Alligator mississippiensis: one gene and its partners. The protein of the gene in region 1 binds, or shares a complex with, the protein of each later gene. Links are inferred from orthologs where the notes say so. Each region holds a gene or a part of one and is shown in the gene's direction. Other genes may lie near its edges.

What was found.
Region 2: the proteins of RHO (region 1) and SAG are in contact, whole or in part, in a crystal structure (PDB 4PXF), measured with the Bos taurus proteins. The link is inferred for Alligator mississippiensis from reciprocal best matches to the Homo sapiens genes RHO and SAG. Residues at the interface, in NP_001014890.1 of Bos taurus: Arg135, Val138, Val139, Lys141, Leu226, Glu249, Val250, Met253, Met309, Asn310, Lys311, Gln312; in XP_010802144.1 of Bos taurus: Asp71, Ile72, Met75, Gly76, Leu77.
Region 3: the proteins of RHO (region 1) and GNAT1 are in contact, whole or in part, in a cryo-EM structure (PDB 6OYA), measured with the Bos taurus proteins. The link is inferred for Alligator mississippiensis from reciprocal best matches to the Homo sapiens genes RHO and GNAT1. Residues at the interface, in NP_001014890.1 of Bos taurus: Leu72, Arg135, Val138, Val139, Lys141, Ser144, Asn145, Phe146, Arg147, Val230, Ala233, Gln236, Gln237, Ser240, Thr242, Thr243, Lys245, Ala246, Glu249, Val250, Met253, Met257, Asn310, Lys311, Gln312; in NP_851365.1 of Bos taurus: Ala27, Arg28, Asp189, Leu190, Val312, Glu314, Tyr316, Asp333, Ala334, Asp337, Ile340, Lys341, Asn343, Leu344, Lys345, Asp346, Cys347, Gly348, Leu349, Phe350.
Region 4: the proteins of RHO (region 1) and GNAT3 are in contact, whole or in part, in a crystal structure (PDB 4A4M), measured with the Bos taurus proteins. The link is inferred for Alligator mississippiensis from reciprocal best matches to the Homo sapiens genes RHO and GNAT3. Residues at the interface, in NP_001014890.1 of Bos taurus: Leu72, Arg135, Val138, Val139, Lys141, Thr229, Val230, Ala233, Thr242, Thr243, Lys245, Ala246, Glu249, Val250, Asn310, Lys311, Gln312; in NP_001103452.1 of Bos taurus: Ile344, Asn347, Leu348, Lys349, Asp350, Cys351, Gly352, Leu353, Phe354.

What each region holds. Positions count from the first base shown.
Region 1 is NC_081835.1:15,128,804-15,136,181, forward strand, and holds the start of RHO (rhodopsin), read left to right. Parts: upstream 1-4,363; 5' UTR 4,364-4,479; coding exon 4,480-4,840; intron 4,841-6,045; coding exon 6,046-6,214; intron 6,215-6,346; coding exon 6,347-6,512; intron 6,513-6,710; coding exon 6,711-6,950; intron 6,951-7,378. UniProt on the Homo sapiens protein: Photoreceptor required for image-forming vision at low light intensity. Required for photoreceptor cell viability after birth.
Region 2 is NC_081830.1:38,994,745-39,002,227, forward strand, and holds the start of SAG (S-arrestin), read left to right. Parts: upstream 1-4,458; 5' UTR 4,459-7,403; intron 7,404-7,483. UniProt on the Homo sapiens protein: Binds to photoactivated, phosphorylated RHO and terminates RHO signaling via G-proteins by competing with G-proteins for the same binding site on RHO. May play a role in preventing light-dependent degeneration of retinal photoreceptor cells.
Region 3 is NC_081835.1:43,088,268-43,095,983, forward strand, and holds the start of GNAT1 (guanine nucleotide-binding protein G(t) subunit alpha-1), read left to right. Parts: upstream 1-4,710; 5' UTR 4,711-4,926; coding exon 4,927-5,032; intron 5,033-7,716. UniProt on the Homo sapiens protein: Functions as a signal transducer for the rod photoreceptor RHO. Required for normal RHO-mediated light perception by the retina.
Region 4 is NC_081827.1:21,306,745-21,314,085, forward strand, and holds the start of GNAT3 (guanine nucleotide-binding protein G(t) subunit alpha-3), read left to right. Parts: upstream 1-4,327; 5' UTR 4,328-4,342; coding exon 4,343-4,460; intron 4,461-7,341. UniProt on the Homo sapiens protein: Guanine nucleotide-binding protein (G protein) alpha subunit playing a prominent role in bitter and sweet taste transduction as well as in umami (monosodium glutamate, monopotassium glutamate, and inosine monophosphate) taste transduction.

The sequences.
Region 1 (7,378 bases):
AGTCAGCCCCCAGCCTGTATTGGTACATGAGATTGTTCCATCCCAAGTGCAGGACTTTCTGCTTGTTCTTGTTGAACCGCATGAGATTTCTTTTGGTCCAATCTTCCAATTTGTCTAGGTCACTCTGAATCCTAGTCCTACCCTCTAGTGTATCCTAGTCCAACAACCTCGAAGATGGCATAGAGAGCACCCTGCAGCTTGGTGTCATCTGTAAACTTGCTGAGGGTGCTCTCTATGCCATCTTCGAGGTTGTTGATGAAGACGCCAAACAAAACCGGGCCCAGGACCATCCCCTGGGGTACTCCACTTGATACCGGCTGCCACCTAGACATCGATCCATTGATTACTACCCTATGAGCCTGATGCTCCAGCCAGTTTTCTATCCACCTTACAGCTCATTCATCCAGCCCAGACTTCCTTAGCTTGCTTGCAAGAATGTTGTGGGAGACCGTATCAAAAGCCTTGCTAAAATCAAGGTACACCACATCTGACGGTCTCCCCGCATCCATGGAGCCAGTCATCTCATCATAGAAGGCAATCAGGTTGGTCAGGCATGGCTTGTCCCGGTGAATCCATGTTGACTGTTCCTAATCTAACCTAACCTTTTTCTCCTCCAAGTGCTTAGAAATGGATTCCTTGAGGATCTGATCCATGATTTTTCCATGGGCTAAGGTGAGGCTGACTGCTCTGTAGTTCCCTGGATCCTCCTTTTTTCCTTTCTTAAATATGGGCACTATTGTTTGCCCTTTTCCAATCATCCAGGACCTCTCCTGATTGCCATGAGTTTTCAAAGACTATGGCCCATGGCTCTGGAATCACATCAGCCAACTCCCTCAGCACCCTCGGGTGCATCCCAGCCAGCCCCATGAATTTGTACACGTCCAGATTTTCTAAGTAGTCCCTAACCTGTTCTTTGACCACTGAGGGCTGCTCACCTCCTCCCCAAACTGTGCTGCCCGGTGCAGTAGTCTGGGAGCTGACCTTGCCTGTGAAGATTGGGGCAAAAAAAGGCATTGAGCACTTCAGCCTTTTCTGCATCCTCTGTCACAAGGTTGCCTGCCCCATTCAATAAGGGACTTGCACTTTCTCTAATCCTCCTCTTGCTACTGACATACTTGTAGAAACCCTTCTTGTTACCCTTCTCCAAGTGTGCTTTGGCCTTCCTGACTTCATCCCTGCATGCCCAAGCAATGCTCTTATATTCTTCCCTAGTTATTTGTCCAAGCTTCCTTTTTGTGATTTAGTTTACTGAAGAGTTCCCTGCTAAGCCAAGCTGGTCTTCTCCATCCTTGCTTGTCTTGCTTTGCACTGGGATGGTTTGTTCCTGCACTCTCAGTAAGGCTTCTTTGAAGTACAGCCAGCTCTCCTGGACTCCTCTCCCCATCAGACCGGCTTCCCAGGGGATCCTGCCCATGAGTTCCCTGAGTGAGTCAAATTCTGCTTTTCTGAAGTCCAGGGTCCTTACTCTGCTGCTCTCCATCCTTCCTTTCCTCAGGATCCTGAACTCCTTTCCTTTGGATCCACAGGGGAGAAAGATGCTATATAAAAATACACCAAGATGTGACCTTGGGTTTGTAATAATATCTGGTGAATTTTTTAAAGATTTTGATCATTTCAAACTATCCTTTGACATTGAGGCTGTTCTTACATAACTTCATGGTAAGAGGGTACTTTTGGAGGTGTCTGGTGAAGCTTAAAGACTGCCACCATAGATGACATTTGCTGCTTTGCCTTCTGCCATCCACTATGGTGTGGATAACAGCATAAACCACATCTTGAAGTTTGTCCCATACTTCCTTTACCCTATTGCTTGCCTCTTCCACTGAAACTTGCTACCTGTGATGCACTTCAAGCGCTAAGCTCTGAACAACAGTTGCTACCTCAGCAATGGCTTATTGCATCAAAGCTTAATGTGACACATTTGTGTATCCGGAAGATAAACCTTTAAGCCTACTGTATGCCTGGATATATGTGCTAACAGCTACATTTGCAATTAGATGACTGCAGTGCAGCTGGAAAGTAGCCTTGGGAACACGTGTGAAAAGTTAATTAAGCTGGAGTTTTGATGTGGGTAGTGTGCTAGCAAGAACCATGGTGTCTTTATTCAGGTTACCATACTGTATAAAAATGTGTGTTTAAAACTAATAGTCTCTTCATCTGTACAAATGTTCAAAGTGCCTATTGTCCTACTTTTTCAAGTGCTCTATTATATATAAATGGCTCAGTCTTCCCGTATTCTTGTCAGCCACAGCGGTTCTTGTGATAAAATCCTGTCTTCAAGCACTTAAAACCTTATGAAGCATTCATCTCTCAGACTGACGTGTTCCAGGGTTGTTCTTTGCTGAAGACTTGTCTTCTGTATGCTCCTATGTAAAGTTTCAGCCGAATCCCAATAAAAGAATGGGGTGGCTGCAGCTGTCATATAACTATGTCCATTTTTCTTAACTGGACTGCCTATACTATGGTAACCCAGCCCAAAAGCAGCGTGGTATGGAGCAAACAGACTAGATACTGCCTAGAGCTGGACAGGCACTGCCTGGTGTTCTGGCTGTACCTGACAACCAACTGCAAGACCTTGAAGTAGTCATACCTCTTCTCAACCTTCACTTCAAAATGGTGTCGATTACTATCCCAGCTCCCAGGGGAGATGTGAGAATAAGTTCAGACTTGCTCAGCCCTTACATACCTTAAAGTTCTTAACTAGTAACACAAGATGTAATAAAAGGGCAAAGGGGGAAAAAATCTTTAGGGTTTAAAAGACTAGGGCTGGTGTATCATTTTTTAAGAAAATTGCCTTCTCCACAGGATAGTCTGCTACTGATTTCAGTATTTTCATTCCATTATACCTGCTGTCCTATTTTCTTGCAAGCTACTGGCCAGTGATCTTCGTTCCAAACAATGACTTAAGTGATGATGAGGACACAAAGAAGTTCAGAGCCTGTGGGAGTTTCAAACAGCCATTTCACCTGTAGCTATACCTGTCTTATCCATTTAATAAGTTGAACTGGATGCTTCGGACAAGTTCCAGAGTGATAACCTGAGAGTTTTAAGGCTCCAGTCTTCTTGCAGATTAAACACAACCCTAGTATCAGCCTTGTCCAATGTACCCATCAGTGTTGAACAGTATGAGGGAGCACATCTCAGGGGAGAAGATGAGCATGACTCTTTGTTGGCTGTTGATGTTATGGTTAACACAGTACAGATGGCAAATAGATGAGCAGAGAGGATGACCCAACAGGAGAAGCAGGGTTAATGTATCTTTCACAGGTACATACTAGGGCAAAAAAGGTCTGTGGCAGTTGTGAGCAAGAGCTGGTAGCACTGTGGCAGAAGTCTTTACAGAACTCATTCAGTCCTTGACCTCTGTCCTGCTCAGGCTCCACCTGGTTTACCAATTGTGGTGGCAACTGGTGGGACCACCTGTTTGTTTCGCATGTAACCCAGGCCAGCTTCAGATTGTAACAATGGTCTTGGGCCAACCTACAGTATATGACCCAGAGTCCAAAGGCTGCAATTCTCCATACCAGTTCCCTCAACCTGCTGCATACAATGCTGAGGTGTTAGATTATAGTAACACATTCCTTAAAGCAAGGGGACAGAAAGGAGCTCCTGTTCCCAGATGTGGGCTCACAACTCATCCCTGTCACCTGTCTTTGAGAAGCTACAATTCAGATACTGGACAATATATTCAAAAAAAATTAAGCCACCACATAGACACACCTATACTTTGTCCTTCTACCTATAGTTCTGAGGCTGCTTTACAACCATTAAAGAATTCAACTTCAAAATATCCCTGTGGAATAGAGAAGTGTTATCCCTATTGCACAGGCAGTGAAACAGGCCTGCAGCAGCTCCTGATACTGGAGTCTTTGTGGGGTAGCTTACTTTTCTGAGTGCCCAGCTTGAGGCACTTGGGATCTGGTTGTCAGCAGTGCTGAGTACCTACCAGCGCAAGGGAAGGCAGCATGATCTGTGGTGGTCAGCCCTTCATCTCTCAAATGGGGCACCAAAACCAGAGCCCCAAACTTGGAGGTCAGTTCTGAAAATTTATCGCTAAGTGAATTATGTAAGGCTGCAAAATAAGGAACAAAACTAATGAGGTTATGCTTCCTTGCTGGCTCCACATCTATGGTATACACAATAGCTGCATATTATACATAAGGAGTTCAATGTTCCCAGGTAACCACTGCACAGCGCAGAAACAGGTGTCACCTTAAACCTTCTTGGGAAAGCCAATTACCACTTGCAATCCTAGCTTGGATTATTATGATTAATAATGCTGTAAGTCCTAATCGTGCTGACACCAATGTTGAAAGCTTACCCAAGGTGGTACTTCATAAAGGGCGCTGCACTGACAACAGTGTTGCCAACTTCTGCAAGTTTGAGGAAGAAGCAGAGATAAGAGGAGAGCAGGAAGAGGAGATCTTGAAAGAAAGCAAAAAATATTTGTAAGACCATAACACCTCGGAAGCCGCAGCCATGAATGGAACAGAAGGTCCAGATTTCTATATCCCCTTTTCCAACAAGACTGGGGTAGTACGGAGTCCATTTGAGTATCCGCAATACTACCTGGCTGAACCATGGAAATACTCCGCGCTGGCCGCTTACATGTTTATGCTGATTATTCTTGGCTTCCCTATCAACTTCCTGACTCTGTATGTCACCGTCCAACACAAGAAGCTCCGTTCGCCTCTAAACTACATCCTTTTGAACCTGGCAGTTGCTGATCTCTTCATGGTCCTGGGAGGCTTCACCACTACCCTGTACACATCAATGAATGGGTACTTTGTCTTTGGGGTAACAGGTTGCTACTTTGAAGGCTTCTTTGCTACTCTTGGTGGTAAGTTCACTAACTGAGTAAATAGCCAAATATGTTCTGTCAGAGTTCCCTTGAGCTGTAGGAAGGGGAAGCCAGGGCCAGGTGGAGGGGCAGGGGGGAAGACGGGAAGGCAGCAAAAAATGGCTTTCAATGCATCACCAAGACCTGGAGGCACTTGGAATTTATATTTTCAGGCTGTATGTTTGGCTTTCAGTGTTGTAGAAAAGTTATATTTCAGACAAGAGAAGTGTGGGAGGACAAAGAACACATGATGTTTGCCATCTTCCTTTACTGCTTTGGGGAAAACCCAGTGGCTGAAAATGGTTGAAACTGGACTGTGGTATTGAAACGTGACCTGGAACAGTATTCCAAAAGTGGTTTTATGCTGACTTTTAACCTTGGAAATGGCAAGCCTGGTCTTCCCTGGTTTTGCTGGAAGAATTTCAGAAAGGTCCCAAGGTACTTTACTGTAGATCCCCATACTTAAATTGAAGGAATAGACTTACTTACCCTTTAAAAGTAATCTTCTCCCCCATGTGTCAACTGATTGAAATAGCTGTTTACAGGAAATGGTAGGCCTAAAACCCTTTCTTTTCTGCATCCAGTTCATCCTTCAGGCAGATAAGTCTGCTCAGGTCACCATCTAACTAGTTCTTTGGTTACCAGAGAGTCTTCTAAGGTAGATGAGTTCTAAAATGTATACTGAAACACAAAAAACCTCCCAACATCTTGACAACAACCTCTCTACCTTTGTTTACCACTGGGTGGAAGGTAAGAAGGATGTAGACCCAATTTCCACTTTACTGTGAGCTTTGAAATATCCTACTAATGTTGTTCCCAAACCTGAGATATGCTGGGCAGAGGGCAGAAACCAATGAGTGGTCAATTCAGTGTGCATTCCCTAGCACAATCAGGCGCATGGAGTTAATAAGTAGCAAAACAAGTGTGGGGAGGACAGGTTGGACTCAAACATAAGATAGGGCATTCCAGTGGAACTCAAAATACTGCAGCAAAATGAGTGTACAATGGGTTAGTCAGCCATTTGTGCCTTCCTTCCCATGCTTTAATTCAGATTTTTTTTTCACATTCAAATCTTACTTGCATTCTTTGATCATTCAGAGACTTGTTTGGAATCCGTTATCCAAGAAGCTTTCATATACAGGACAACACGTTTTTCTTCTGTTGCAAGCAGTATATGAATATGTGTGTGTGTGTCTCCTACACAGGTGAAGTGGCTCTGTGGTGCTTGGTAGTCCTGGCCATTGAAAGATATATAGTGGTCTGCAAGCCCATGAGCAATTTCCGATTTGGTGAGAACCATGCCATTATGGGTGTCGTTTTCACCTGGATCATGGCCCTGACTTGTGCTGCTCCCCCACTGGTCGGATGGTCCAGGTAGGCATATTATACATTTTCTGAAATAAGGCATCATCTAGGACAGCATTTTTCCATTCTAAAATTGCAAAGCCTGATTCCCCAGTGGCACCAGTGCAATGCCAGGTACTAATCTCATCGGTTTAATGGCAGGTACATCCCAGAGGGCATGCAGTGCTCATGCGGGGTTGATTACTACACCCTGAAGCCTGAGGTCAACAATGAGTCCTTTGTGATCTACATGTTCGTAGTTCACTTCGCCATTCCACTGGCTGTCATTTTCTTCTGCTATGGACGCCTGGTCTGCACTGTGAAAGAGGTAGGTTGACCTGCTGGTGACGGACTGCCATCAAAACCTGCGTGTGAATGCTAATGCCAAATTTTTGGAAAGCTCAGATGCAGCTTGGAACTCCGCAGCTGGCTCCATCCCTGTTGTGGGAGGAGATGCCGTTCCAGCCTTTTTTTCCCCAACACTTTCCCATGGAACCATCATAATTTCTTTGTTCTTTTGCCTTAGGCTGCAGCCCAGCAGCAGGAATCAGCTACTACCCAGAAAGCCGAGAAAGAAGTTACCCGCATGGTCATCATCATGGTCGTTTCTTTCCTGATATGCTGGGTCCCCTATGCCAGTGTTGCTTTCTACATCTTTTCCAATCAGGGATCTGACTTTGGTCCCGTCTTCATGACCATCCCGGCATTCTTTGCCAAGAGCTCTGCCATCTACAACCCAGTGATCTACATTGTCATGAACAAACAGGTAATTAACAAGTGCAGTTTTTTCTTCAATGTATTTCATTTCTTAAAAGCTTGAACCTTGCTCATAGATTTAAAGGTTAATGTGGCATGAAAGGAACTTTTAAAGTCAAATGTGTTCCTATAATACACAGGGATGACTCTATTAATTATCTCACTATCCTTTGGTATTACACAGATGTGGAAGCTGTCAAGCCGGTCTGCTTGAAATGATCCAACTACTTAAGATTTAACTAAGTATCTAGGCCTCTGTTCTGCTCTCAGCCACAGTGGCTCCAGTAGGAAAGTTAGGATAATCCTGAATCAGAGTTGTAGCTAGTTTTAAGGAATGAGACATGTACAGAAGATAAGATTTGGCACATTGGATGAACCATCAGTCCATCACATATAAAGTCTTACCTCTGCCAGTGACACTTAAATCAACTTCCCTAC
Region 2 (7,483 bases), on another chromosome or scaffold:
GCATGCACAAGTGCGCATGAGAGAGAAAGGGGTACTGATTAGTGGATTGTGGCCTGTACTTGACAGGTATGTGTCCAAGGGGTATTAGTCCTTATAGCCAAATCTATATGGTCTTTTATCAGAAATACTGTTTTGAGACTATAGCAAAAGAAGCGGCTTCCTCATTGTTTGTACTTTTTTTTTTTTTTTTTTTTTTTTTTACAGTGTGACCTATCTTTGAATCTTGGAAGGTTAGTGTACATACTTTGATGTGAGGGAGAGATTACTGAATTCAGGAATATGGATTGTCCCTGTTCACCCAGGAATACATCACAGGAGATGGTCTGTTTCTCCCTTGCTGTTTTAACTGCTGTCTTGCCTCTCAGTTTCATAATACAGACCAAAAAATGGTGGTATAAAAACTGTGTTCCAGGGATGGGCAATTACTTCGGCCCATGGGCTACGTAGACAGTTTTTTGCTGAGCTGTCACAGGCCACGTCAGCACCACCACCCCCTCCCCCCCCTTACTCCTCACACAACACCTCAACAAAACTTTATGCGGGCTGCAGGCCCGTGGACAGTGGTGTTTGGGAGTGGGACAGGTGAGCAAAGCTGGGATCATGTGGCAGAGTCATGGGGGGGTGATAGCATGATGCAGAGCTGTGATCCACTGCCTGCACGGCCCTGCAATAGGCGTGGGTTCCACGGGTAGGGATGTGCAGGGAGTGGATTGCAGCTCTGCCCCGGCCCCACACGGTCACTGCTCCAAGAACCCAACCCCAGACGCAGCTTCCCATCAGTGTGGCCTTGTGCTCTGCCCCTATGGCTCCTAACTGGTCTGCACTGAGACCCCAGGATCATGGGGTTATGACATCAGGACCAGGTCGGGCAGAGCTGCAGTGCACTCCCAGCACCTCCCTGCTTGCAGAACTGGGGCTCTGCCCTAATCCCATGCTGTCACTGCCCTGCGGTCCTGCAGTCTCTATTGAGACTGGGTAGGAGCCACATGGGCAGGGTGCATAGCCGGGCACATGGGGAGCTGCATCCAGGGCTGGGATCATGGGGTGATGACAGCATAGGGCCAGGGCAGAGCCCCAGTTCTGCAGACAGGGATGTGCTCGGAATGTTTCACAGCTCTTCCCCAGCCCTGTCTGCACTGTCACCACCCCAAAATCCCAGGGTCTCCTGCCTGCCCACCTAGTCTTGCCTGCCCATCTAGCTCCTAGACACTGCTCCCTACCAGGCTGTGGCTCCATCCCAGCCACCCAGCTGTGCACCCTGCCTGGTGGTGGGGCAGATGGGCTAGGATGTCCAGGCAGTGGGGACTAGGGTTGACAGCTGCAGCAGCCAGAAAGAGCTGGCACTGGGGCTGCCAGGAATTGGAGTCGGGCTGCCACACCACCCCAGCCCCACTGCATGCCCAGGGGCAGCAGGACTGGCTGCACACACCACAGCCTGCGTTGCCCTCCGTGCCTGGGCAGGGCAGAACAGAAGGACCTGCTGTGGGCTGGAGAAAATCCCTCAGCAGGCAGGGTTTTGCCCATGCCTGTACACTAAACAGTAAGATAAACCTAGGGCCAACTTGGGAGTAATGAAACCTAACCATCTAAGTCCTCTTGCACCTGTATCTTGTAAAATTAATTGGGGCTCATTGTAGAGGTGATATCTTTTATTAGGCCAACAAGATTTTTGCAAAAAAATTCTTTAATTGCAAGCTTTCAGGCACAAGTGCACTTCATCAGGCATTGGAGAAAAGATTGTAAAAGTTCTCCTGGCTAGAAATGGAAGTTCATATTTCAGAGGAGTCAATAGGTGGAAAACTCTGGGCAGGCAGTTCTTAGCTGGTAAGGAGTCTCTCAGCTCTCCTGTGTAAAATTAAGATATTTTCTTAGCCAATCTTCTCCTGTGTTGGTGAGAGGTGAAAGCAAAGTCAGTTAATGGTTTTTGTTTTTCAAATAATGGAAGAGGATGACAAACAAACTGCAGTTCTGCTGTCAGCTATGGGGACCAATTGCTCTAAAATGTGAAGGAACCACTTTGAGAAGGAATCATACTCTATCCGCTCCCAGAAACTTTCTTCAGAGAAGTGTGTTATTACACTACCTCTACAAAGGCCCCTGTCCTATGCCCAGCTGACCTCAAGAGGATTGCAGATAAACGGATCATTCTAAGTGATGAGTCGGTGAGATTAAATATTACCGGGGATTAACTCTGCCATAATAAGAACTGTGCAGGTTGCGATGGAGAGGATCAGGATGGCTTAAGATGTTGATAATTTTTTTCTACAACATAAACAACAATTTGGATTGAATGTTTTGATGCAGGAGACTTCTGTTTGTTGAATGCTTCTTAGCCAAATAACATTGAACATTCCAAAACAAGGGGTAAAAGGTAGGTCAATATTATAATTTTTAAGCATTGTTTATGCAACAAAGATAACCACCAGTTCCACTCATACACTTATCAAGTGTAACGTCTGTCTAACTAGTTCAGGTTGTACCTCTTCCAAGATGGAGTGAACTTGATTAACTTTCTAACAACTGCAGTCTTGCAAGACATAAGCCAAAGAATTCTAGTTTGGTGACACTGGTAAGGGAATGAGGTCATGACCTGCTTTTTTCAAGGGTGCAGCTATTTCATGATTGACAGTACTTTCAAGTAATTTAGAAGTAGGGAAACCAAACTTGCCACTTTAGGAAGATCCTTTGAAAAATTCTCTTATGATGGTGTTGAACAAAGGAATGGAGTCTGCTCTGCTTCCGTATAAAACATAACTTCAGATTGAAAAGGATCCATGTTCTTTTTATTTTGTCCTGAGAAGATGGCTGTAGCTTCTTGGAATTCTTTTGATCTTTTGAAATTTTGCTGTGCTTTTTTCTCTCTAGGAATTGGATAGGTCTGCATCTAGAAAAGGCTATAAGGCAGGGACAGACAATTATTTTGGGGGGAGGGCTGCTTACCCAGTTTTGGCAGGCTGTCAAGGGCCACATGGGTAGCCCTGCCCCTTGACAGATGCCCTGCCCCCCCGGTCACCATCTTGGGACCAATGTCTCAGGGTCAGCACCGGGGCAGAGGCTGGCAGGGTTCTGTGGGTCTGGGCTGGGCTGCACTAGCAGGGAGAGTGGGGAGCTGGCCCGGCTCTATAGAGCCCCTGCCAGCTGGGATCCATCGGCACTGGCCCCAGCCCCGGGACACTGGTGCAGATCCCGTGCTCCTGCTGGCTCCTGTACCTGCTCACTCCCAGTGCCCCCCAGCCCTACAGTACAGGCAGCGCACATCCTCAACCCCCTGCTGACCGGCAGGGAAGAAATGTGCTGAGCATGAGGAAAAGTGACCCTGCCCCATGGCCTGTGCTCCCTGCTGCTGGCGTTCGCAGCCCATGCGGGGCTGTCTGGAGCAGGCACAGGCAGCCCCACATGGGTTGCAAGCGGCTACAGTGCGGGGCCCCAGGCATGGGGCATGCGAGAGGTCACTTTCCCTGTGCTCAGTACCAGCTTGTAACCCAGCCCCACTGCCAGCCTGGGCTCTGCGCGAGCTCCAGGCTCACCGGTTGGGGCTGCGTGCGGTGGCAGCAGGTGCGGCCCCCCCACTTGCCACACCGGGCAGCGTTGGTTGCTGCTGTTGCCCACCCAGAGTTTGTGTGCTGGGCAGCCCAGAGGTGGTGTGCTGGGCAGCCCAGAGGTGCTGTGCTGGGCTGTGTTTGCCACTGCCAAGTGGGGGTTCTTTAGTTACTGTTGCCATGCACAGCCCCAATGGGCAAGCCCAGAGCGGGTGCGGGGCCCAGGCTGGCAGTGGAGCCGGATTACAAGCTGGTGCTGAGCGTGGGGGGGAAAGGAGGCCCCTCGTCCGCCCTGTGCCTGGTGCCCCACACTGCAGCTGCTCACGGCCCACCTGGGTCTGCCTGTGCCTGCTCCAGACAGCGCTGCATGGGCTGCGAGCAGCTGCAGCAGGGAGCGCCAGCCATGGGGTGGGATAGGGGCCGCTTTCCTTCACCCTGGGAAGGAGCAGGGAAGGAGCCTGGGGAAAAGCTGAGTGTGGCGGGTGGAAAGTGGCCCCTTGCCCGCCCTGTGGCTAGTGCTCCCTGCTGCAGCTGCTTGTAGCCCGTGCGGAGCTGTCTGGAGCAGGCACAGGCAGCCCCATGTGGGCTGTGAGCGGCTACAACATGGGGCGCTGGGCACAGGGCAGGCAAGGGGCCACTCCCCCCCGTCCCCCGCTTTTCCCCAGGCTCCTTCCCTCCCCTGGGCCTTCCCCTGCCCTCCCCCCACCTTCCCCCTTGCCTGCAGTTCTGGCAGGGGGCAGCCACATGCTCCCAGGCCAGAAGCCCCTGCTGGGGGGGCCAGGGCAGGGGGGCCCTACTGTTGTGGGAGCTCACCAGGCTTCCCCTGGGTCCTTCTGCCCTTGATTCTTGTCATTTTTTACAGGAACCAAGGGCAGATAGATACTAATTTTCTAAATTTTTTTAGGGGCCCCATGGGCTAGATAAAATGGCCTCGTGGGCCGGATGCGGCCCACTGGCTATATTTTGCCCACCCCTACTATGCGGGGGGGGGGACACGGACGGACGACCTTTTGGATGGAAAGAAAAAGTAGGCTGCAAACATGCATATAAAAGGGAACTGCCTAAAACATGGAAGAATACCTTTTCAAGCCTGTATGTCCCATTACCGTAGTGCCTGGTGTCTCAAAGTATAAAATGCAGTCTTCAGTAGAAGTAAGTGTGAAAGGGAGGCACTTGGAGCTTTGATTTAAAAGGTTCGTAGAGCCTTGGTGGGAAACTGGCTTGTGCTGTCACCTAGTAGGGAGATTAGTCTGTACCGCAGGTAACCATGTTTTTATCACTCTCTTTGGCAAGTAGGGAAGAACCTGACAAGGTCACTGTGGCTCTGCCCTTATGCTGAGAAGGGTTGGCTGAGTGCCATGGCGTCCTGCAGTAACCGCCTGCAGTCAGCTGCAGGGCAATGCAGAAGGAAATTGAATTAAGGTGGCACGTGCTGTGGAAAAATGCCTGCTCTGCCTCTGCACTGAGGATTCTGACTGTAGACTAGTGTACACTGTCCACCCGGAACTAACCTGCACCTTTGAAGAGAGGCTCTATGAAAACCCAGGGAAGCCTGTAATCCATATCTGGCATTTCTTCTGGGATTTGAACATTGTTTTCCTGTCGGCTTTTTTTTTTTTTCCTGGAGGCTGATCACTACCACTTGGTTTAGCAATGTCTTACTGCTCTGGCAAGAGCCATGTCCTGCCTTAGACTGTGGAAACTAATAACCAAATGGTAGAATGCCACAACGCCCCTTTGGGAGTAAGCAGGCATCTAGTTCCAGGTGAAGCTGGGGGGACGTGGTATCTCTGGAGTTGATCTCTCCTGTCTCCATTCAGACTTTGGGTTTGGACTGAGCAATATGGAGAAAATTAACTCTTATATATGCCCTTAAAGTACTTCAGTGAAGCGGTGGCTAGAGGCCCTGATCAGCCTTGGGGCTTTGCAAAGCAGCCAGCAGAAGCACAAAGGAAGTCAGAGAGCTGTCCATCCTAAAAGGCTGACTAATGTCTTTCTTCCCCAGTACTGCCTGCCCTCCTCCTCTCCAACAACAGCTATTGAATGATCCTTATCAAATTAACATTTGACAGTAAATTACCATTAACCTTCTAACGACTGCAGCTTTGCAAGACATAAGCCAAAGAATTCTAGTCTTGTGGAACAGGTAAGGGAATCCAATCATGACCAGCCAAATGAGCTGTCAAGAGAAATGGCCTTTCTTCCTTTTGCCCCCCAGCTTGTGCTGTGACAATGTTGCATGGCGGAGCAGTCACAGTACATCTCATGTCTTCTGTACAGCAGGACTGGAGATTTCTTTGCCTGTGGGTACATATTTGCTTCTTCCAAAATATTCTAGCCAACGAGGGATTTCAGAAGTGTCTTAATGCTTTAGGCTGGCAAGGCTACAGCCAATTCTTTCCAACTACTTTAGTTGGTCTAATAAAAGATACCGGATTTACGCAAATAATCTTGTCTGCTTAATGCTTTAGGAGCACAAGCCTTATATTAGTGACTGTCAAGGTACTGTGGCACCCTTGTTTGACTTGAGATCCTTACAAATGTGTGCCAGGGTGCCACTTGTTCTTAGCGTTAAGTGTGCAAACTGGATTCACAAGGAGGAGGAAAGTTATTTTGAATAGGAACCCAGAGTGTCAAAAGCATTCAGACCTGTTGTGGTCTTTCTGAGTTTTTTGCAAAAGAATTTCTTTACGGTTTTGTGTTGGGTTTGTAGTTAAAAAATGAAAGCTGGTATTTTCCAAGGGGTGCCTTGACCATAAAAAGGTTGAGAACTACTGTCCTATGCAAATTCCTTGGCCACTTCAGAAATGCATTAAAATTTGCTGTGCTGACTTCAAGTAAATATTGGGTGACTGTTCCCAAAAGTAAGCTGGGTTTGCCTTCAGGGCTCCATCAAACACACTCTCAAGAGAGTCTATTCAAGGAGGGAACAGAAGCAGTACTATGCGATCTGTTTCTAATCAAACAGCCCAAAGTGAGCTGGTGAATACAGCTGCTTTTGAATAGTTTACTCACCAAAAATTACCCTCCTTGTTTTGTGGACAAAATCAAATTGCAATCAAAGCAAAGCAAACTCCTTTCAGAGTATTCATGAGCAAAAAGAAGCTAAATTGATCAAATTTCTTTGCTCCTCTTGATTCTAATTTTTTAAACATGGATAACTGTCACTTCTCCTTTATAAGCTAATTGGAACAACAAACAGTATGCTGGCAATCTATATTATGTGCATAACATGTCAGGGGAATGCTGGTGGAGCAACAATAGGTGAACTTAAAGCTTGTGAAAATAACTATGATGTGTTTGCAACCCTTAGAGTCTAGACTATGTAGTATTTATAAAGTCTTGTTCTAATGCTGACAGATAAAGAGCCATTAGTGAGATGCTTAATGTTTAGCTTCTTATTAGCTGTATGATTTGTAACTACAGTAGATAGAAGATGGAGACAGAGCTTTAGAGCAAAGCAATAACCCTCCTGTTTTCTGTAAGTCTTTGTGTTGTCCTTATACAGCTATGAGTCTGGCAATGACATTGTAGACCCGTTCATCAGGCCTGTGCTCCCTTAAGTAATACCCAACACTGCTGACCTAGCCAGTTTCCAAGTGGATCTTAATCTAGGTACATTATTTACTCCTTGAGTGGGATTAGTTTATGAAATCTTGGACATTAAGAGCTGGAAACATCTCCAAATCGACTACAAATTGCGCTCAGTTCTCACCTGGAAGCTAGTGGTTTGCTCCAACACACAAGGATAAGTAGGAACTGTCTGCCTGGAAAATACCTTTTGTTCAGTGTTAGGAGTTCTCATCTTATTCCTTGTGTAATGTTTTCTTCTGGCAGTTGCTGTGACATTTGAGACATTGGAAGGTATTTTAACTTTTGGCTATTTTTGTGGGGTTTTTTGTTTTCTCCTAAATCTTCTGGGTCTGCACTCTGCAGTGTGTGAG
Region 3 (7,716 bases), about 28 Mb from region 1:
GCTAGAGTCTTCTTGGTGTCCTTGCAGTTGTGCAACATTGTTCTTGGAGTTTGAGGAACTGGTTAAGCAAGCACTTATATGGGATGGTTTGGATAGGGATGATCCTGCCTTGAGCAGGGGCCTGGACTAGATGATCTTCTGAGAGCCCTTCTAGTCCCACTTTTCTATTATTCTGATTCTGTAAATCGGGGGTCTTTATCTGAAGTCTGATGGACACCAAACCCAGAAGCCCATGAAGCAGTGACCAGTTTTCCATATAAACAAGTCACTCTAAAACACATGCAGGGATCCATTCCCACCCCTCTGCACTTCTTGCACAAGTACGTGTAATCTCAGCCAATGGAGCCCAGGGCTGTTGCATGCCAATGGCAGAAAAGGCTTGTCTGGGAATCGTTTCTGCAAATGGTGACAACACCTAGGGGTGAGCAGGGCACCAAGCAGGGGCAGGGCATGGTCCACCGACACAGATCCCTGGCGACAATCTGGCAGGGTCTGGCTGTCAGAGTCTGACATCCTCAGTCCCTGCAAGAGGCTGGTCGCTGCCATTTGTCCCCCTGGAGCCTTCTGATCCCAACAGATGCAGCTCCATGAGGCTGGAAGCACAGCCCCCCAGCAGCAGGTTCACCCAATTCTTTCCTGGGTTCACAGTGCACACTTTAGAGATGCGTCTTCCTATCTGAAGCAGCCATGGGGAGTTGATCCGTACAAGGCCAAGCACCCTGCTGCCTCCTCAGAATGGAGCCTGATGGCCTGCTCTCCCCTCTGTCATCCCAAGGACAAACAGAGTTGGCTGGTAATCCTTCCCAAGGCTTTATGTCCATCTCTTCCCCTTGTGTTGCTCTCTCACTTCTGAAGTTGCCACACCCTGAGCCCAGGCAGGGAAAGCCAATCTTCCCTGGTGGATCACAAGTGAGACTTTTGACATCATGCTTCATTTTATTTAAACAAATTTTCTGAAACTAAACATCAGGAAATGACTGTTTTTTTATTATGCATCCAGGCAAAGCCTCTTTTTCACATTTTATTTCAAGGTTAACCATCAGCAGTGCTTGCTTAATCAGTAACTCTGGCAGTGTATTGCTATTAAATGCAGCTTCATTTCCAATTCCATGGCCTACCTTAGGCTGGAGTTAGGGTTGAGAGCTCATCTCAGGAAGATGTAAGTAAAAACACTGCAGGAATGTCGTAATGATTTCCAAAACTGCAAATCCAGAAAATTCAGAGGAAAAGTTAATTAAGGCATACAGATGACCTGCTTTCCTACATGAATTGGGATTAGATGGCACAGTGCTTTGAAAGAGATGAGGTGCCATGTAAATACAGGAGAGAGTCCTGCCTCAAAACAGCAAATTCTGGCTAGATTTTTGGTTCTTGGAGTATTTTATCAATTGACATCCTGGAGCGTTGTCCTCTTGAAGTACTGGTTTGGCTTACTTAGGGGATCGGGCTTTTCTCAGTAAAAGTGTCAGGGTTTTTTAATTGTGAAAAATAAAAAAATATAATTTTTAAAAGCTCAGAAAAAAGGTTTAAAAGATTAAAAAGAAAACAATGGTTCCTTCCTTTTACAGCTGCATGTGATCCTGGCTAAAGAGACTGAGTACTGTAGAGGACGGTGTTTGCACTGAGCGCAACCAAACCCCGTGTGATACCCCACTCTCCTCCACAAGAGTAAGAGGGCACCAGGCCCTGGATGGAAATGGGGGATCCAGGGGACAGGACTCCTCCCTAGTCTGACCTGCTGCAGGAAACCCTGGCTCTGGCACCATCAGGGGTGTCATGTCCCAGCACAGTCTCTAGCTGAACTCAGCAGTCACCCACACCCATGGGTGCCTCACAGTTTGGAGGAGCAGCCTGTGGTGGCAATGCCCTTGCCCAGAGTCAGGACCCTCCAAGGAGGCATGCCCAGACTGAGGACTGGGATCTCTGCAGAGAGAAAACAGGGCGATGATGGGATGGGCATGCTCCTCCCCTCTCCTCCATCCTCCAGGGGTACAGAGGTGGTCCTGAGTCAGTTCCTTCCCATGTTTCTCCCCACAGCCCAATCCCAAGGAGGGCACCTGCACTAGATAAGGGCTGGAAAAGGCGATTGCCATAGGGGCCTCACTCACAGCAAACTCCTGGCACTGCCCTCTGGGGAGACCATTCCAGACCTGACCCTGACCAGACCTCTGCCAGCTTGGTAGGGGTGGGGAGAAGAGGGATGGCAGGGCTCTGAGGCATGTACGGGGTGCACAGGGAGAGGTGGACATGGGACTCCACACACATGAATGCAGCAGGCCTGGTGTGCTCAGCCTCACTTCATCTGGTAGCACTGGGAGGTGCTGGGAGGGATTTGTGGTGATTTTGCCCCCCCTGGTGGCTGAATGTGGCACTGCTCAGCAGAGAGCTCAACCCCCAGCCACACACCGCTGGTCCAGGCTGCTGTGCCCCTAGCACCCCTCCTGCCCCCGGCCTGCTCATAGCACGGGGCTAATGCAGTTCAAAGGGCTCTTGATGCATGATTATCCCAGATGCACTGTTTTCAGGCATAGGGGAGCCCCAGGATATAAGCACCAACCTTTCCACTGTGAGGACCTCAGGGGAAATCTACTTTTGGCCACCTGGGTCCTGAGTTCTATGTGCTCAGCCTGGCATCTTGTTACAGTGGATGCCTGGCCTGGGCATGGGGACACCTTCACTCAGGCAAAGCTCCAGCCTCACCATTGCTCACTGCATGGCCTGGTACTGACCCATTTCCCTTCAGTACTTTGGTGTCACCTTCTTCCCCCTCCCCCCACAATCCAAGGCAGAGTCCCTCTCTCACTGTGCATCTGTCCATCCACCCAGCTGCTTTGGACTGCTCTGCACACATGGATTTGAGAAGGGTCTTCACTCCTGTGCCCTTCTCCCAACACCCACTCCCTACAGTACGCAGGAGACTCCCAGTACCCTACTCTCGGGGCCATTCTTCCTTCATGTACACCCCATGCTGCACTGTTTACAGAGTGGAGCATCTGTGGGTGACAGGGACGTGGCACTAGCTCACCTGGACTCCTTGTCTCAGCCCCTTGCTATTCCAGGCCTACACTCCAGTGCCTCGGCCGCCTCCCTCCTTTCTCAGATAACCATGATCCCCAGGGCTGTTTTTCAAGCAGTTGCAAGGGCTTCATTTAGCTTTTCACCTCTCTGAGTCCTCCCTCCCTTCCCCCCAGGATGCATTTGACAGGAGTTGGGTTTCAGGAAAACCCCAAAGGTTGATCAGCTCCCACTTCCTAGGAGGGAAGAACAGGGTGCCACAAGACAGTGGTCCATTATATTGACTGGGGGTGAGACGCAGGGGGCTGCAGGTTGTGATGCGAGACAGCAGAGCTGTATAAGTAGGAAGCTTGTCCAGCACCAGCCAGATCTCAGTCTCAGTCTTTCACAAGAATTATTTAACTTTTAAGAAAAGCATAAAGGTTCCTTGAAATATCCAGTGCAGCCCCCACCATGGTACATTCCCCCACACACATTCCACATCCAGACAGACCTTTGACCTTGGGCTACCAAAGACTTAATCCCTCTTCCCTCTCTCCATTACAATTCATGGAGTCCCCAAATCCAGCCAGGCACATACCTCTGTTGGTCCAGAGCCCAGCCTGGAGCCCCATTGTCCTCTGCTGCTGCCATCCATGCCCCAACTCAGTGTTGATTGCAAGCCAACCCCTCCGTACGCCACTACCCCGGTACCCTAGCCCCTTCAGCATGCTCTGCCTTGGTTCTGGGCCTGTCCTCTGTGGTGCTGTCGGGCTGCTGGGTGCTGATGTGTCTGGTTCTCCTGAGGCCCAGGTCCACCTTGAGCTCCATTCATTGAGGTCATGCAGGTTCTGGGGGACCTGGTGGATTGCCTGGGCACAGAGATGCGTGGAATGAGCAAACTGGGAAGTATGATTGAGGGACTGCCAGCCTAGGGGCAGAACACAGCAGGGACTAAGGGCAGACAGGGGCAAGGAGGTTTCCCTGGGGCTTTGCCCCATTCCCTAAGCCCCAGCGAGTTCAAGGAGACTTCAGAGTTCACTGCACTCCCTCTCTCTCCCCTTTGCCCCCCAGGAAACTCTGTGCCAGGGAGCTTTGGCCTGCAAGGCAAGAAAGAGCACCCTGCACTGATTCTGTCCATGCCAAAGTGGCCAGCCTGGATGTACCCTGAAGCCCCTTAAGCTGGGAAGCCTTGGTTCCTGTGTATGCTCACAGTGGGATACATTGCCTTTGTTGATGCAAGACATTGTACATGCAGAGACTTTGGGTCAGGTGCCTAACACGGAGTCCCCTATATTACCAGCAGAAACTGATTCTGACTTCCGGTGACTCACCCAAGGTCATAGAATGAGATGTAGGCTCAGGGCTCAGCTCTTCTGGCACCAGCCCCAGGCCACCTCCCCTCACAGGAAGCTTGGGGCATGGATGGTGGGCCAGGCTGTGAGGAAGTCCCTGCTTTTACACGTTGATGATGCATCCCTGGATGGGAGCAGATGGAGGCTGGAAATTGTTGCACTCAGCAGGTAGGGGGATTTGAGGGGATTTATCTCAGAGATGGGTTTAAGGCATCAGCTCATGGGGCTGCTCATGTCGCTGAGCGCAGCAAGTCTGATCAGAGTGAAACAGAGGGAGGGGAGCCTGGGCCTTACCTGCTCCTTGTCCACCTGTCCTTGCCACAGATTGGGCAGCAGGGAACACATGACTTCCATGGGCTTCGAAATCCTCCTTTGTGGGAGACTGGCTGGCACTGTGCATTGGGAGGAGTGTCATTCTTCTCTGGGGTTCACGACGGAGCAGGAGGGAGCAAGCGGAGGCCTTCCAGAGTTAGTAGTGGGTTCCAGAGGAGACAGGACAAGAGCTCTGGATACCCCCTGGGCTTACACTACTGCTGCTGAGTGGCTGGATCAAGAAGAGGAGTATACTGAAGACCAGATGGGAGCTGGGGCCAGCGCAGAAGAGAAGCACTCGCGGGAGCTAGAGAAGAAGCTCAAGGAAGATGCCGAGAAAGATGCCAGGACAGTCAAGCTGCTCCTACTGGGTATGTGCTTGGTTAGAGGCTGAGCCCTGCTTTTCCCTGATCTCAGCCAACACCCCAGATCCTGCACCAAACCCCTCAAACCTGCCCCCGCCCCTTGGCCCAGAGCTATCCATCAGAAGCCCTCAATCCGAAGCCAGCCAATACCCAGGTTCTGAGCCAGCATCCAGGCAGTGAGACTGTGATGCTGATCCTACCCAGGTTGTTGGATATGGTTTGTCATCGTGGTGGGAATGCTTGATGGAGGGACCCTTATATTGGCTTGATGGCCCAGCTTAGGGCAGTGCCAGGAGGAAAGAAGAGCTGGCAGCATTTTACTAAGGTATTAAGCACCCACAGGCCTTTGCGCTCAGCACCCCTTCCCTGAGATCCCAGCCCAGTGGGTCTGGGAGCTCACTCCTCTCCAGATCCAGAGCTGGTGAAAGCCAGAGTCCTGATCAGCGAGAGACAGCATGTACAGCTCTGCCTCTCCATGTGTGCTGCAATGCAAATGGCCCCAGGAAACCCTGATCCAGCACAGAGAAGGGGCTGTTTGCTTATACGTCAGCTTGGTCCCCAGCTGGTGTAAGCAACACTATTCCACTGACCATAGTGGGGCAGATCAGCATGTGATGTGAGTCTATGTGGTTCCCTTGGCTCCCATAGCACCCACCTTTGTAATTTCATGGCAGTTTTGCAAATTTCTGCAGAGCTGGAACCTGGACTTGCTATTGCTAATACTTCACCCTGTAGCCTTGCCAGGGCATTTTGAGATAATGTCTTGGCATCACTGGGAGTCTGACTGACTTGCCTGAGCTGGGAACAAAGCACTAGAACTCCAGGGCTTTGTCCCTGAGTTTGTCAGAGCAAATCATTTACAGTGTGCATGCCCCAGGAGCTGTGGGCACTGAAGCTTAGAGGAGATGCTGGATTGCTGTGATTGCTATGTTGCCCTCTCTCAAGCTTTCGCAATGTTGGGAACAGGTTGCAAAGCTCCTTTCTTTCCATGCCCTGCCCCACAAAGGCGGGGTGTTAGCACCTCTTTTTCTGCAGGCCTGGTCTGCAAAGCCTGGAGGAAAATGTCAGATCTCATTATCCATGCCCCAAGGATAGACACTGATCATCCATCTTACCTTAATGCCAGCTAAGAAAAGACACTGGGGCCTCTATAATCCTGGCTTGCTACCTCCAGTGCCATGAAAAACAGCATCTGCAGGGAAGCTGATTAATACTGTACATTGCTTCTTGCCCCTGTTCACTGCCAGGTTTGTGCTCAAGACAAGCCCTGAGCACGACACCAATAAGGAGGGCAGGGGCAGGATAACTGAGCAGCTGTCCCCATCTTGGCTGATGGACCAGGAACTGAACTGAGGGTTTTCAGTCCCCAAGCAAATTATTAAACAGTCAACTGGTGCAGAGCTAGTGGGTAGCAAGGTGGTAGAAAGAGCTGACAAGGGTTTGTCAAGAACAACTTGCCTTGTCTGATCGGACAGCTGGCCTAGTGAACAAGGGGAAAGCAATGAATGAGATGCAGCTTGACTTCTGTAAGGCCTTCAGCTCTGTCCTACATGACTTTCTCATGTAACAACTTCTGCATGAGTCACTGTTAGATGAACATACAGTTGATAAAAAACTTACCTCAAAGACTAGTTTCCAGTGGTTTATTGTCAAACTGGGAAGGCAACATAGACAGGTTACTCTAGGCACCTGTCCTAGGCCTGGTTCTATTCAATAACTATTTGGAGGATGAAATATAGGGTTGGCTTAAAAATTGTTGACAATATTGAGCTGGAAGGGCTTGCATGGTGGGGAGGGTAGGATTAGAATTCAAACTGACTTCAGAAGATTGGAAAGATAATCTGAAATCAGCAAGATGAGAATTAATAAAGACAAATGCAAAATATGATGCTTAGGATGGAGAAATCAAATGCACAAATAGGAAATAAGTATTCCCTAGAAGGGCAGGGAATAGTAGCGTATAGGAAAAATGAATCTGGGGGTTTCTAGCAGGCTACAAACTAAACAAAGTCAATAATTAAATATATTGTTTAAAAGGTAAATCCCAGTCTGAGATATGTTAACAGAAGAACTATACTTAGGACACAAGAAATAGTTGTTCTTATTCAATGTTGGTGAGGACCAGCAGGTGTGCTATGTCCAGTTTGGGGCTGTAAGAAAAATGGAAAACAACAAGAGTGATGTAAATTTTGGAAGCCATGACCTGTGAGACTAGATTGAAGGGACTGGCCTTGGTTGATCTACAAAAGAGAAGACATAACAACAGCCCCATCCCTATGTTGACATAAGGAGGATGGTGATCAATTGCTCTCCTTGTCTGGTAGAGGAAGGACAAGAAGAAATCAGCTTACTCCGCAGCAAAGAAGATTTAGATTGACTCTTAGGAGAAAGTTGCTTAGCTCTAAGGGTAGTGAATCACAGGCACAGATTCCCATGGAGGGGTGGAATCTACTTTGTTGGAGGTTTAGAAACAGGTCCTGCAAAATCTATCCTGGATGGATGGGCCAGGTACACTCAATCCTGCCTCAGGGCAGGGTGACCATTTAAGACAGAAGTGTAAAGATGGGTGGGCAAAAGGGGCATGAGTCCCAGGCACTGACTAAGGCAGGGGGAGGGGGGGGGCTGCCTCACCCTCCCATGCCCTGTTCCTCCCCCGACACTTCCTCTATGGTGGCTCTGGCTCCAGCTGC
Region 4 (7,341 bases), on another chromosome or scaffold:
ACTCACGCGCCGGCAGAGAAGCGCTCCTGTTTGTGCAGCCTGTTCGCGTGGTTCCTGTTGCGTGGCTCCCTGGGGGGCTGGGTGAAGTAGGGGCCTGGGCAGGGCTTGACCCGGCCCGGCTCCACTCAGCTGCCGCCTCCCACACACACACTAAGGGGGTTAGCCCCTTCTCTCCACGGGCCCCGCTTACCCCGGCTGCGCTGGGGGTCAGCGGGGGGCTCCACGGCTGCTGGAGGGTTTCTGGGGGGCTTCGGGGGAGCGGGGGTGCAGCGAGCTTTCACCCGCGCGTCTCTCGCCGCTCCCGCGTCTAACTTTGGCTTTATGAAAAAAAAAATCCCTTCAACCCTTTTCTCTGATGTTGAAATAAGGATTTTAAAGGTTTTTATTGATCTCATGAAAAGAGGCACAGGAACAGGATTTGGAAATAGACTTTCAGATGAACTGGATGGTATAACCAATTGAGACTGTGTCCAAGATTAACTGATCAATTGTAGGGGGCCTCACATACCTGATAGACCTAGCACTTCCTGAAAAGAGGTGCAATTGACACTGGAATTATATGAATTGGGTCAGATCCGTCACCAAAGACATCAAAATATTTGCATATATTCCAACAAATCCAGTCTTTTGCATTTCCTATGTATTGGAAAACTGATGTTCTTCCTCCTTTGCTGATATCACTATGTGAGAAGATGGGTATGGATATATAAAGAAATACTCTGGCCCTTTGTGTAGAACCTGTCGTTTCACTTTGCCAAACATGAGGAGAGGGCTGCCATGGCTTGGAGTTAAACAGTAGCATAGTCTGCCTGGGTCCATTATCACGTAGTTTAGAGACTAGGCCAAGCCTCTATCAAGACTTTAGTGTTGAATGACTTGGTTCCTTCAGTATCCTCAGTGGGGACCTGAAGATGGTTGCCATCCTTACTAGTATAGGGTGACCAGAAAAGTTACCAGTGCATTTGTGAAGAAGGAGGTGTTGGAACTAGGGCCTTCTATATCTACAAATGATATCATGCATTAGGCCTGTGCGAAGAGGCTAACAGTCACTTCGGATTTGGCCGATTTGGGGTACAGTGATTCATGTTGGTGATTCGAATCACTGTCCCAAATTGATTCAGCCAAATCTGATTTGGAGGTTTGCAAATCAGCCAGGCCCATCCTCCGTCCACTTTCCCAGCCCAGCAATGTTTGTCCTGCCTGCCCCCACTCCTGGCACTTAAAAAAAAAAAAAGCCCCCAACTCACTTGATGCTGCCCCGCAGGGGGGGTGATCCCCGCTGCCCCCTACTACCTCACGCTGTGTGTGGGGCTCTGCCACAAGCCCCCCAGTCCCCTCCCACTCTCCCAGCCTCCCCCCCACCACAGCTGCCCTGCCCACCCCAGCTCCGGCCCTTTAAGAAAAAAAAGAAACAAAACAAGCCCTGACTCACCATTTCTGCTGGGTGGGTGGGGGCAATCCCCACTGCCCTGAGCATGAGACTCCCAAAGTCTGCATGAGCCTCCCAAAGTCCCAAGACTGCTGCAGGAGCCAGCGAGTGTGGGGGGGGTTGGGTTTTTTCTTAAAGGGCCGAAGCTGGGGTAGGTGGGGCAGCCATGAGGGGTCTCAGGGAATGGGGGGGTCAAGGGGCTTGTGGCAGAGCCCCTCCACATGGAGTGGGGCAGTGGGAGGCAGTAGGGATTGCCGCTCCCCCCTCACCAGCCAGCACCCAGTGAGTTGGGGCTTTTTTTGAAGGGCCAGGAGCTGGGGCAGGTAGGGCAGCCATGGGGGGGTGGGGCTGGGGGAATGGGGGGGGCAGGGGATAAGGCAGAGGATGGGGCCTGGCAGTTGTCCCCCCATGGTCCCCTCCCCTGCTCCCTACTTACCAGATCCAAGTCTGGGTCCAGCTCCCTGCTGCAGCAGGTGGGAACTGCCTGAATTGTCGAAGCTCTCCGAATCTTTTCCAAATTGATACGGAGAGCTTCAAATCATTTCAGACTTTTGAACTGGTCCCCCAATTCAATTCAGATTTGGAGAGTTAGCCACCGAATCGGGCCTAATCTCCTCCAAATCAAATCAGCACCTGAAGCTTTGCACAGCCCTATCATGCATCATCCTGTCCTAAGGACAAATGAACTAAGATCATACCTCACTTCTGAGGCAGAAGCTGAGTGCTGCTTCAGAAGAGGAGATGGCTGATATGACTGCTGAGAATATATAGCAAGTGGAACCATGGGTACTTGTGCAGCACCAGGAAGTTCGCCATATTTTACAAAGGCCATTGGAGGACGTCTGATCATTATGACCCCAATATGGTTCCTGCTTCTACTTCAGTACTGTGCCCCTTTTACCATCCAGGAGGCCCTTTGTATAGCATGCTAGTGGGGCCTCAGGAAGAAAAAGGTTGAGAAGCCCTGCTCTAGACTCCTGATCAATGAGAAAAGTGGGAACTCAATATAGATTATAATTGCTATAGATGTGTGTAGATTTTATATATATATATATATATATATATATATATATATATATATATATATATATATGTTCTAATCACCCTGAAGTTTATTGAAGCATTTTACTCCAGGATGGGCCCAAATTCTAACAAAGAAATGCCTGGCACCAGGACCGCACTTGTGCCATTGCAATGTTAATTTCTAAAACAAATGGAAAGATTTATGCATGAGTGCAGATGCACAGAGATCTTGTTACCTGTCATTTTAAAGAATAAGCAAAACAGGAATGTAGACTGAGCACAACAGTTTTTCTTGCTGTGTAAATAAATATGCAAAACCTCAGCTGTTGACACTTAGCAACTGCTTCCAGCCCTCCAGGAGACATAGGAAATCTAGTTTTCCTGATGCACTGAGCAGAAGGGATACACTGAAGGAGCCAAACCAGCATACCTGCTAGTATATGTATGCATCTTGCAATAATCCCTTGATTTTCAAATCTTATCACTGTAGTATCAGAGCACGTATTTACTCAAACACACAAGCAATTTTTCTGTAAGGTAAAATCAGTGTTTTGCTGAAGTCAGCAACAAATTTGCACTGATTCCAACAGGACCAGAATATCAGCCTTTGAAGTAAGAAATGAGTAAGATCTAGGCATCATTTCAGCTGAATTCTCCAACCGGATGCAGTTTGTACCTGGAGAAACAGGACTGAAAAGGAGCTGTTTCCAGGCCTCCAAGGCCTGACAATCATTATAACGCAGCATTGACTAAAGAGGAGATCATAGCAGCTGGCTTCAAGCCAGGAGAAAATGCCAACTTTGCAACTCCTTTGTGTTGGACCCAAAGGAGAGAATCTGGCCTCATGCCTTTAAAGAAGTCCTTTCTTCCAGAAAAAGGGGAGTGATATTTTTGGCTAAAAGTTATATGCATCACATTCAATAGCAATTTCTAGGGTGACCCAAAATGGCAAAGATACCATAGCTTTCACCATTAGGTGACTATGCACAAGTGGGCATCTTAGAGAAGTTGCAAACTGGAATAAAACCTAAATATTATTGAAGGAAACATAAGGCACGGCATCACAGAATCATAAAAAATTAGGTTTGGAAGGGACCTAATTCAACCCGCTGATCAAAGCAGGACCAGCCTTAAAAACCTCCAAGGATGGAGAGTCCACCACCTCTCTGGGTAGCCCTTTCTAGTGCTTCACCACCCCCCTAGTGAAAATGTTTTTACTAATATCCAACCTAAACTTCCCTTGCTGCAACTTGAGACCATTGCTCCTTGTTCTGTCCTTATAGTATCATTATAGTGTGAAACTAGAAAGCATTGTGGCATCCCAATTTATTAATGTTAAAATCAGCATAAACAAGTAGCTATGAAGCTGCACATTTCTTTGTGGATAAAGGGAATGTTTAGAAAGATTAAAAATAAATAAATGTTCCCAAATGTTTGGAAGGAACATTTTGCTTCAGGACATAAGCCAAAGATTAATTCCTGGGGTGAAAAATTCATTCCCCCTAAACAGTGTTATCCTAAAATCGGGTACGTTAGGGTTTCTTTCACTTTCCCATCTCATTAAGGACAGGATGCTGAACTAGATGGCTCTTGGTTCAATTTGGTATGGAAATGCTCATGCTCTTCTATCATGCTTTTCCATGGGTGTAATAGCTGAATGGGACATTTACATTTTCTGACATCATATGGCTGTAATTCTGTGTCCCAGTATAAATTCCTGTCAGTAGCATCTTCAAGTCATGTGACAGGGGAAAAGCAACTACTTAATTTGTATCTATAGAGAGGAGGCTGAATGGGACATTTCAGACTTCATTAAAGCATTGCTGTTGAAGAGTTTGAACTAAAGCGTTTTTTCTACTTAGATATACACTGACTCTGTAACCCCACGCCATGGGTAGTGGTGCCAGCTCAGAGAGTAAAGAGTCAGCCAAAAGATCAAAGGAATTGGAGAAGAAACTCCAGCAAGATGCAGAGCGGGATGCCAGGACTGTCAAGCTTCTTTTGTTAGGTAAAACAAAAGTATATTACTCTATGATTTTATTTTAAAGTAAACAGTACTGTAAAGGGATAAATGCAAACATGCTTTCTGATCCTTCAGTGATACTAGACACTTGACTGAACAGGTTTATTATACTGAATCTATTCCATTTTAAGTATCTTAAATCCCCAGCATAAAGGAAGAATTCGAGGAATGATCACTCCTGTCAGAACAATTATAAAGAGCAAACTCTTTTTTTTTAATGCAGGGGATAGTGCAGAAAGCAAAGGGTAAAGGTGCAGTAAATACAACACTTACACATAGATTTAAGGAGGCGATTGATTTAAAATACAGAAATGACATGCCATCAGCTAATGAAATTATCATTAATTTTTATTAGTGATTGTGAACTTCACATTGATTGTTAAGAAGCAGGGAATGACTGTAGCAGGAGACAATAACCCAAGCAATGAATATTGGGGCTATATATGAAAAAGCTTTCAATTTACTAAGTCCCCATTAGTATGATATGCACTTCTATATATTTCTGAACATTATTCTTATTCATATCTAATAGTTCAATATTTTGCATCACTAAACATGTGTTTGCTTGAGTGTATCAGAATACCGGTTGTGAGCCAACGTTCATATTTTTTTGTTATAGCTGCTTTTATTAAATACTTACAAAGGCCTTGAAATGGGCCCCATAATATAAATATCTGGCAGATCCTCAGCTAAGATAACTCAGCAGAGATCCTCTGACTATAGTTTTAGCCTAAATTATTTATATCAGATGAGAGTCTAACTATCATTATTAAAAAAATAAATCTAGAATTAGCAAAACCACCCAGTTACCTTCAGCAGCAAGGAGCAGTTTAGTTTCTGTCTTGAACATTCTGCATGGCATCTTCAGCCCTGCGGGGAATAAAAAGATCATTTGTGCTACAGCCACACAAGCTACTTGGAAAAATTAAAGCTGTTTGAAAGACCTTTTTAAAATATATATATATATAGAAAATGTTGTATTTTGCCAAAACCCCAAAGGCTGAAAGAGATTTTAACTTAAATGTGTGTGTGTCTCTCTCTCTTACTCTCTATACATGACTATTCTAGATACAAATCCTAATGTGGTCAAAATACAGACAGAGAGACAGATACAGGATTTTCTGTAGTGAATTAAAACATAGTCCATTTAGTCCACTATCCTGTTTCTGATTCTATTTCTATGCATTACTGTGAGTTTGAGAGGAAATATGAGTAACCCAGTAGAAGGCACTTGTTGAGTAAACTGCCTCTGAGGAAATTTTCTCCCTAAAACTTTATTATTTAAAGACAAAGTATATAACCCATCCAAAAATCTTGGTCTTTTAGTATTTATTATCACCATGTGGGTGTTTTGTCTACTGTTCAGTCCTTTTTACAACCTTTTTAACTATCCCTGGGGACATACTGGGCAACACGTCCTGCAGGTCAGTTGTATGCTATATGGAAAAGAATTTCTTTTTTTTCAAATTTCAATTTCTGTTTTCCAATGTCATTGAAGGTCTCTTTGTTCTTCCATACCAGGGGTAGGAAAATGACAGTGACTGAACAACTTTCTTTAAACCGTCCATTATTTTGTTTACCTTCCCTAAGGTAAAGACAGAGTTTTTCAAAAGAAAATATCCAGGCAAATTTTCTCTTGTAGAACTCTTACAATATGCATTATGAGTTGTCAGCCATCTACTAAAATCCATGTGAAAGTATTGGACAATTTAACTGGTCCTTTTTAAAACAATATAAGAAGCTATTAAGACACCGTTGTGTGCTGGGTCTAGTAGAGAGAGCTGCCCCAGGCCCAGAACCGCAAAGCCACCCTGAGCTCTCAAGATGTACAAGGATACAATGTATGGCTCTTTCTTGATGATCAACCAGAAATGTTGGCAAAGCTAGAGACTGTCCAGCCCCAACAATTTCAGTCTAGATGGAAAGCAGGGACAATAATAAAAAGGCCAAATTTGTTCACGTTATTTTACTTCCATGTTCTGTGCCAGTGTCAACAGAAATGCTGATTACATCCTTTTCATGGAACAAGTACTGGGGTAAAGAAAACTATAGTTTCCCAATTTACATAAGTCTTCTAATGGACAGAAGCATAAAGTTATTTTTAAAACAGAATCCTGTCCAGAAAAAGTGGTCCCATCCCCTACCTCTCACCCAGGCACGCCCATAGATAACACTTGCAGTTATCAGTTAAGGTTAAACTCCAGAATGATAATTAGTCTCCCCATGAACATGTTGAAAGCATAATCCAGAGCTATACTTTGTTCTGTTACATAACATCTAGCTCTCATACTTGACAAGGTGAGGACTTTCTATGTGTTTATACATCAAGTGCAATGTGCACCCTTGACACTGCAGAAACAATCAGCACTAACAACGCAGTAATAATGGGCAAGCCTCAAAAGTGGGAAAGCTCAGTTTCCATTTAGACAATCACAAACAAGCTTAAAGAACTTGCCATGTCTTGAAACCCGTTCACTGTGCAGAAATATCACCCCACACATGGACACTGGTTTACCAGCCACTTCCAGCTCTCTGGGAAGTTGGAACATAGCCACTTACATCAGACAATAGTCTATTCCCTAGAGAGGGCAAGGATTTAGATAGAAGCTGAAAAGCAAGAGAATAAGGTCTGTCAAGCATTTCCAGAAGGCTCTCATCTCCCAAGAACCCTGGATTTAAATTTTCAAGAGTGACTAGTGATTTGGGTGCCCATACTGAGACACCTCAAGCAGGACTACTTTCCGGAAAATGCTGAGCAACCATCTGCTAAATGTGCTAAAGCATCCAGTTTGAGATGCTTAGTAAGGCGTCTCAAACTGGACACCCAAACTCTCATGTCACTACTTAAAATGTAAGCCGCAGGTAG